Rattus norvegicus: one gene and its partner. The protein of the gene in region 2 purifies or fractionates together with the protein of the main gene of each other region. This does not show direct contact. Links are inferred from orthologs where the notes say so. Each region holds a gene or a part of one and is shown on either strand. Other genes may lie near its edges.

Region 1 (4,195 bases), on a different chromosome or scaffold from region 2:
GAAGGAACATCCTGGCCTTCCTGTCCACCATAGGGGGTAGCTTGTGCTTCTACTCAGTGGTTGGGTTACATAGTCTGTGAACCCAGTGAGATCTTTGCCATTCATTTCCTTAAAACATGAGTGACCCGAGTCTGTGTGTTTCTTCTAAAATCTCACAGGCCTGCACTCAATTCTCAGTACCCATCAGATGCCCACTGTGGGCAGAAGGTAAAATCTCCCTGAATTCAGGGTCTGCCATCACTAAGGATGGCCTTGGCGGTGGCGTTGGGGTGCAGGCATGACATCAGCTCCGAGGTAAGCTTGTCACACTCTGCCACCTCACCAGTGCATAAGACTGTGTTCTTTTTAGGTTTTCTTTTAAGTCTAAGGAGTCCATACAACACTCGTGATCCACAGTAAGTAGTGGTATTTTGACTTTATTCTATCCATCAAAATCTCCTAATATTTTCCCGAATGTTTTTTTTTCCTAGTTACAAGAATCTCCCTGTAGTTCCTAGGAGAGCCCTTCCCTGCCTAAGGGCCTTTATGATGTCACCCCTCTGCCTGGCATGTTTTCCCTTCCATGGTGAACCTTGGCTCACTCCCTCAGGAATCATTTCCCTAACCATCCTGCCTGGACTTGTTTTCTCACACACTTCCAGACATTCTACCTCAGCTTTTCCTCAATTTCCCCCTTGGCAGACCTTAACACGTGTGTTATTTGCTTACTCTCCCTGAGGACTTCTCTACTGCTCACTGTTACAACACAGCTCCTTCCTCAACTCCGGTCGCCTATAATTTCCATAGTCACACAAGTAGCCCTTTCTAGCCCCTGCCCCTCCCCCTCTGATGTTCCCAGAACTTCCCTACAGACGGGCACTTCTGTGGTCATGCTTCCATTTTTACCCAAGGACCCGTCATCAGACTCAACGAACAGGCACCTTTCTCCTTTTACCACAAGAGCACAACCAAGCCCAAATTAAGCTTGGTTAATTCCTAATGTTGATGTGCTAAAAACCCAGCAAAATTAAAACCTTAATTAGGCAAATAAGAGGTGTTTTATTTTAGCTAAATGGTATATTTAGGATCAGGGATATTCTGTAGCTCTAGCACAAGGTTTCAGGTTTCAGCAAAATGTCAATATCTTTCTGCCTTTATCCTGGTTAATTACGTTCTATTCAGTCACAGCCCCATGCTTCTAGGGGCTTCATCATAAAACGTCTCATGCAAACTGGCAGTGGGATAGGACACCTGAGAGACACCTGTCCTGCCAGACATCATGGATGAGGTATTTGCTCCTTTCATAACACAGCACAAGACCGCCCAAGTGGAGCATTGTGAGGTAAAAAAGGCCAGAGATTTATTCAGGGCCCCCAGCTCTTCAGTCCAGACGAGGCAGAGAGTGTCTCTTCTGAATGGCTCCAGACAAAATATAGACGCACCACCAGCCTGGCTAGGAAGTAATGCTTCCCATGAGCCCCCAAAGAACGGGAAACCAGACACTGGTAAGTGTAACATGTCTCCTACACCCCTCAGCCATTCTTTCTTCTAGAAGTTCTACCCAGACTGACATCTAGCTTCCAGAGTACCATCAGAGAGATGCTGGTGCCCTGGTATGAATGTCGATAGTTTCTTTGAAGAGGTCAGTTTATCATCTCTGCAGTGGACAAACCAGACAGTCATTTAAAGTGACCTTTTCCTGTGAACATTGCTCAACTTGGCCTACATGTGTTCCTTGGCCTACGAGGATGACAAGTCCAAGGCTGGTTGGCTCCAAGAACCAGGCATTTCTTTGTTGGTGGTTGCCAGTTGCTAGGCTTGTTGACATCTGAATCAGACATTAGGAGTTTATCGTCTTATCACTGTTCTTTCCCTTCATTACGCATGTCCCTTTTGCCCCTACTGAGGTGCTGGCCATTTTCCCCAGCCTCAGAGGCAGAGTAGGCATGATTTACAGATTATTTAAGTTCCAAATGCTTATTTCATGAGCATGGAGTGTGTGTGTGTGGGGGGGTGTGTGTATGTGTGTTTGTGTGTATTTGTATGTGTGTGCATGTATTGTGTGCATCTGTGTGCATGTATGTGTGTGTGTGTCTGAGCCTGTGTCTGTCTGTGTGTATGTGTGTACCTGTGTCTATGTACCTCTGTGTGTGTGTATGTCTGTATCTCTGTGTGTCTGTGTATGTGTGTGTATGTGAGTGAGAGAGAGGGAGAAGGAGAGAGAGAGAGGGAGAGAGAGAGAGAGAGAGAGGGAGAGAGAGAGAGAGAGAGACTGTCTATGTGTCTGTGTGTCTGCACTTGTGCCTGTGCCTGTGCCTGTGCCTGTGTCTGCATATCTGTGTATGTCTGTGTCTGTGTGTCTATGTCTGTGCTTGTGCCTGTGTCTGTGTCTGTGTGCCTGTGCCTGTGTCTGTCTGTGCCTGTGTCTGTGTCTGTCTCTCTGTGTGCCTGTGCCTGTGTCTGTCTGTCTGTGCCTGGGTCTGTGTCTATCTCTGTATCTGTGTCTGTGTCTGTGTCTGTGTCTGTGTCTGTGCCTGTGCCCATGTCTGTGTCTGTGTGTGTCTGTGTGTGTGCATGTGCATCTGTGTGTGTGTGTATGTGTGTGTGTTTGTGTGTGTATGTCTGTGCATGTGTGTGTATGGGGAATGAGAGAGAGATAGAGATAGAGTTTGTGTCTGTGTGTCTGTGCCTGTGCCTGTGTCTGTGTATGTCTGTGTGTTTCTGTGTCTGTCTGTCTGCTCCTATGCCTGTTTCTCTGTGTGTGTGTGTGTGTGTGTGTGTGTCTGTGTGTCTGTGCCTATGTCTGTGTGTGTGTCTCTGTATGTGCAGTGCATCTGTGTGTGTGTATGTGTGTGTGTGTGTGTGTGTTATTGCTCATCTCAGAGATTACAAATTCAGAGATCACTTACTGAAGAGACTGAAATGACTGCTACTGCTCTCCTCAGCAGGCAAACATCTCCTTCTTGGGGAGTCTGGAAGCCAGATATCCATACCACCAATGCTGTGATGTCAGCCATGTCTCCCGGCAACCTGTTGCAGGGTGGTGCTCACCCATGGCACAAGAGGAAACAGATGGCAAACATTCCTGGAAACTGAATTGCCAAGGTAGTGTTCTTGGCAGCCATGGGGAAAAGTGTCAGGCAAGTCCTAGGTGAGAGTTCCACTTCCTGCACTGACAGCTGACAAACGCTGAAGAGGACAGGCTGCCCTTAAACTGAGAGCCTTACTGATGCCAAGGTTAGCAAAAGAGGGAAAAGTCACAGCAATGTGTGGAGACTGTCAATCTATAGGGATTAAGACTTTGTTATCCCAGGGCTCTTAGGGACCCCACCCCCAAGTACAGCAAGATGGGCAAACTGTGTCTTTGCTGTTTCGTGCATTCATGGCAATGCTGGGATTATACTCTACTCCCCTGGCGCCTTTTTTCATTCCTGTAACCGAAAGCTGAAAAAGGCAGCCGAAGGCCAAAAGGGTTCATTTTGGCTTACAACATGACAGTAAAGGTCCAGAACCTCAGCACACAGACTGGTGCAGCCAGCAGTCAGGATGGGTCTTTCCCCCTATATTAAGCCAGTTTAGAAACGCCTCACAAACATGCTCAGAGCTTCAACTACTAGATGATTCTAGAACTCATCAAACTGACAGTCAATGACAACCATCATAATCTGGGCTCATGGTTTAGAGAAGCACATCAGGATTCTGTTTCAGAACTATCTTAAGAGTGTGGGGGGGGTTGCAATCCTCAAAGACACGAGTCAAAATATCATTAATGTCCTGCCCCAGGAGTCCTGCCCTAGGTGTCCTGTCCAAGATATCCTGCCCCAGGTGTCTTCCCCCAGGTGTCCTGTCCAAGGTGTCCTGTCCCAGATGTCCTGCCCCAGGTGTCCTGTCCCAGGTGTCCTGTCCCAGGTGTCCTGCCCCAGGTGTCCTGCTCCAAGTGGTCAATGACCCAAATGCTTAACAGGGAAGCAAAGCTTCTAAGCATTGCCTTTAACATTGCATCTAAAACATGACTTTAGACATAAAATACTGCATTCTCCAAGGTCTCTCCACAAGAAGAGGACTAACACACTGATTTTCAAAAGCCAAGCCAAGCTGACTCCCAGGCCATGCTGAACATCTCTGGGACGTTCCTGGTAGAAGCTGCCAGAAGATGAGCGTATTATCCTAAGTTCTCACACCAGGAAGCAACTACACGAGCTCTAAGTCCAGTGCC
Region 2 (4,267 bases):
TCTTTTTTTTTTTTGGTTCTTTTTTTCGGAGCTGGGGACCGAACCCAGGGCCTTGCGCTTCCTAGGTAAGCGCTCTACCACTGAGCTAAATCCCCAGCCCCCCAGTAATTCTCTTAAGTGTGCACTCTAACTCTCCCTCAAAGTTCTCAACATTCCTGGATTGATGCACCATGATATATAACCAAACTCCTACATCCAAACTTCCAGTTCTGAGAAAAATTCTGCTTTTCTCTGTTAGACACTACCAATGCTATGATGAGGCAATAGTTATAAAGATGAAGTTTTAACAAGAATTTGCTAAGACCTCTCCCGTGTTTGCTCCCACTCTCCTCTACGTTGTCCACACTGGCCTAGAACTTCAGGATGCAACAAATCCTCTGGCTTCAGCCTTCAGAGTGGCTATGAGACACAGGCCGGTGCCACTACGTTCAGCCTTATAGTCTTACTTCTAAATGTTATTCTCTCCCACTTTTTACTTGGTTCTTACCAGTCTTGACAGTCACAGTCCCTCGATTTTAATGCTTCTTTATAACTTACTGAATATGTCTGCCACGATCAAGATAGCCTTTGCTCCAACACAATGCATTAGAGGCAGATTCAAGAGCCAGCTCGAATACACATCCCTGAAGAAGCAGCCACACCCTCCTTCGCTCCCCCCCCCCAAGTGCTATTAATTCATCTACCGCCTCTTCTCTGCTAGATTTGAATTCCTGCGGCTGTAAATAAACATGGAAAGTTCCCACACCGTCTCGACGAACGTAGGGGACTTCAGAGCCTACCACCGCCACAGACAAGGCCCAGAAACCGCAGAACCCGGAGCGCTTCCGGCAGTTCCAGCTCCCGTTCCACCTCACAGCCGCGGGGCATGCCGGGAACTCTAGGTCTCCGTGCCCAGCCAGGCCGGACCGGAGGAATTCCCTAAAGAACACTCCGCTGCCCCGAGGCCACTCCTCCGGTCCCGCCCTTTCCGTCCCTCCTCAGCTAGCATACAGCCCCTACCGAAGCGATCCCGGGGGTGATGTAGTCCGCCACACACCGGCTTCCCGCCACTTCCTTCAAACTACACTGAGCTGCTTGGAATAAGGCGGCGACACCGGCTCCTCAGAATCAACTGCGACCTGCCTCTGCGAACGAACGCAAAGGCGGGATGGATCGCACTCCTGATTGGCTAGCCGTGGGTCGAAAGGGGCACTGCGATTGGCAAAAGGAAGGAGACAAGGAGGGAAAGCTAGCTGTGGCCGGCAGGGATTGGCGGAAGGAGCTGGTACTTTCTCTCTGCGTTGGTAGGCGGAGAAGTAAGGATGGGCCGACGCAGAGGCGCAACTCTTGATTGGTGGGTGAGCGGCCCCAAGGCGCCAGCGATTGGTGGGTGTCCGAGTACACAGCGCTGATTGGACAGTAGTAGGTAGGCTGGAGGCCAGTTTTGAGTCCGCCCCGCCGCCTGGCATACTGGCGGAAGGGGAAGGGGGGGCAGGCGCGGTGGGAAAGATGGCGTACCAGAGTCTCCGGCTGGAGTACCTGCAGATCCCGCCGGTCAGCCGCGCCTACACTACCGCCTGCGTCCTCACCACTGCGGCCGTGGTGAGCAGCTGTGGCGCCACATCCTCTTTTTTCCAGGCTAGCTATGACTGCGTCTTCAGAAAACGGGTTTGGGCCGCAGAGAAGCCCAGTGGGTCTGGTCCCAGGGGTGGGTGGAGACATCCGGAGCTGACTCTAGGGTTTGGGATATTCCCAAGGGTGCCAAGCCAGTGACCTGAGAAGGGTGTGCTCCTTCTTGAGGGGCCAGGTCAGTTTCAGACAGATGAAGTCCAGACCTGTAGTGAATCAGAACTGCGGGAGCCGCCCACCCAAAAATGTATCTGAGAGGTCTAGCTATGTCCAGGTGACTAGTGGGAGTTAGGTCCGCTAGGTTCACAGACTATTATATTGAATATAGAAATCTCGAATTGTCTGGAAACATCTTTCAAAAGACGGCCTGTGGATATAAATAACTGGCCGCATGTACCTAGTCCTAATGGTAGCAGGGTCTTAAATCTCTTATTCCCGAGTTGTCTCACCCAGCTGTTTGAGGTGGTGACCACGTGACGCACAGATTTGTAAAAGATGCTGTTGTCTTGTCTCTAAAATATTCCCACTCGCCTGCCTTGTAGCATCCTCAAATATTGCAACATAAAACTTACATCGTGTGTTGATACAAAACGGTTGTGCAAATTCTAAAGAATCTCTTACCAGCTGTCACAAGCAAGACAGAAATTTATTCCAAGGGACAGAAATTATTAGAGCTACTCATTCTTTGTTGTTCATGTTGGAATTTTGTTTTGCGATTGATCTGCTTCAAGAAGTTCTTTTTTCCATTTCAGCAGTTGGAATTGATCACACCTTTTCAGTTATACTTCAATCCTGAATTAATTTTTAAGCACTTTCAAGTAAGTGGTCTATAGCAACTATGATATAATATTTTCACTATCTTTTTTTTTCCCATTGTTTACTAAGTAGTAAATCCTGTCAAATACAGTCTCAAAAAATAACCCAGTGGGGGAATCTCTGATTACAAGTCTTGTTGAGATGTAAAAAGGGAATTCCACAACCTGGTTGGACTCCAGAGTCATTTAAGAGCTGCTAGGTATTTGTAAACTCATCCTATACCAAATTAGAATTGCCAGAGGCGGAGCCAGGGACAGGCAGAGTAAGCAGGAGGATGGCAAGTGCTAGATAGGCTTGGGCTATGAAGCACTGTGTTAAGAAGAATGCTAAGGGTGGGAATTTCGAATTTATCCTCTGTTTAGTGTGTTTTTGATGTGTTGAGATTCTATATTTGACTACAACTAGTTAAGAACTAATGTGGCTATGATCTCAGTAGTCAGGAACCTGAGCCCACCTTGAACTACATATCAAGGAATTGTCTCAACACACAAACAACAATAACAACAGCAGTAATAATAATGTGATTTGAGAATAGACTATCGAGCTAGCTGCCGAGAGAGTCTGACAGGATAGCCTTATTTTGTCCATTTACCACCCAGACACACCTAACACTGTTGTTATTCCTCAAGGTCCAGCTCATGAACTCAGTTTTTTATCACTGGTCTGTCTTCTAGAAGTCAGATTATACTATCGAATTTTATACCATTATCTAAAACAGAATGTTGACTTTCTATATTACAGTTTGAAGAAGTCGTTTTCCATTGATTAAAATGCTAAAGAGAAGTATGTTTTACAGTTTGAGGAAGTCTTTTTCCAGTGATTAAAATGCTGAAGAGAAGTGTGTTTCCATGGCAGGATGGTCATTCACACTCTAGGTGATATGGAGGCAAGACCTCAATGGTCCTTATTGATGCTTTTCCCTGTCCCAGATGTGTCACACTGCCTTTGAACCCAGAGAACTCCAGCTTGCCTTCCAAACCTCTGCTTTTATCTACCCTCAGAGACAGCTTCTTCCCTGTACAGTGCCCTCACTAGCGTGAGAGTGCTATAAACTCTGAGTTGTTTGCATGTGAATAGAGTGCTGGCTCCTTTTCACTCCGCTGTGACAGAATTCCTGACAAAGCAACCTAAGAAAGAAAGAGTTTGTTTTGGCTAACAGTTTGTTGGTAAAGTCCATTGTGGTTGGGAAATTGTGACATCCAGAGCTTCAGGCAGTTGGTCCCCTTGCGGAGGAGTACGGGTGCTCAATTCACTTTCCCCTACTTAGTTGTCCTAGGACCCTAGACTGTGGAATGGTGCTCATTAATGTCCTTCCCACCTTGGGTGACTGAATCTAGAAACTCCCTCACAGACAAACCCAGAGTTTGTCTTGAGTGACTAGATCTGTCAGTATTAATTATCACAAGTAAATTACCAGTGACCAAGGGCTTAAGGGTGTATGAAGCAGTCAGTCCTCTGATACCTTGACTTTGCCAAGTCGAGATGTCTGTGACCTTTGCTAAGATTGCTTCCTTCTGGTTTGTTTGGCTTAATGGCCGAGGTTCTTCGTTTTTTTGGTTTGTTTTTTGGTTTTTGGGTTTTGTTTTGTTTTGTTTTGTTTTTGGTTTGTGTGTGTGTGTGTGTGTGTGTGTGTGTGTGTGTGTGTGTGTGTGTGTGTGTTTGTTTTGTCTATTTTTTGAGATAGTTTATCTTGTAGTTGTGGCTGGCATGACCCTCATGGTATCCTCCTGCCTCAGCCTCCTTGGAGTCCATCACTGTGCTTTTTTTCTTTTTTAAAGACAGGGTCTGTTATGTAGCCTGGACAACTCTTGACCTTAACAATTCTGTGGTCTTCCTGCCTGGA

What was found. Proteins that work in one complex are often made in the same cells at the same time.
Region 1: the proteins of Derl2 (region 2) and Serpina1 purify together in Homo sapiens (affinity purification with western blotting; 3 studies listed by BioGRID). This does not show direct contact. The link is inferred for Rattus norvegicus from reciprocal best matches to the Homo sapiens genes DERL2 and SERPINA1.

Annotation. Positions count from the first base shown.
Region 1 is NC_086024.1:128,650,326-128,654,520, reverse strand, and holds the start of Serpina1 (alpha-1-antiproteinase precursor), read left to right. Parts: upstream 1-1,395; 5' UTR 1,396-1,484; intron 1,485-2,924; 5' UTR 2,925-3,084; intron 3,085-4,195.
Region 2 is NC_086028.1:56,235,194-56,239,460, reverse strand, and holds the start of Derl2 (derlin-2), read left to right. Parts: upstream 1-1,467; 5' UTR 1,468-1,488; coding exon 1,489-1,581; intron 1,582-2,360; coding exon 2,361-2,426; intron 2,427-4,267.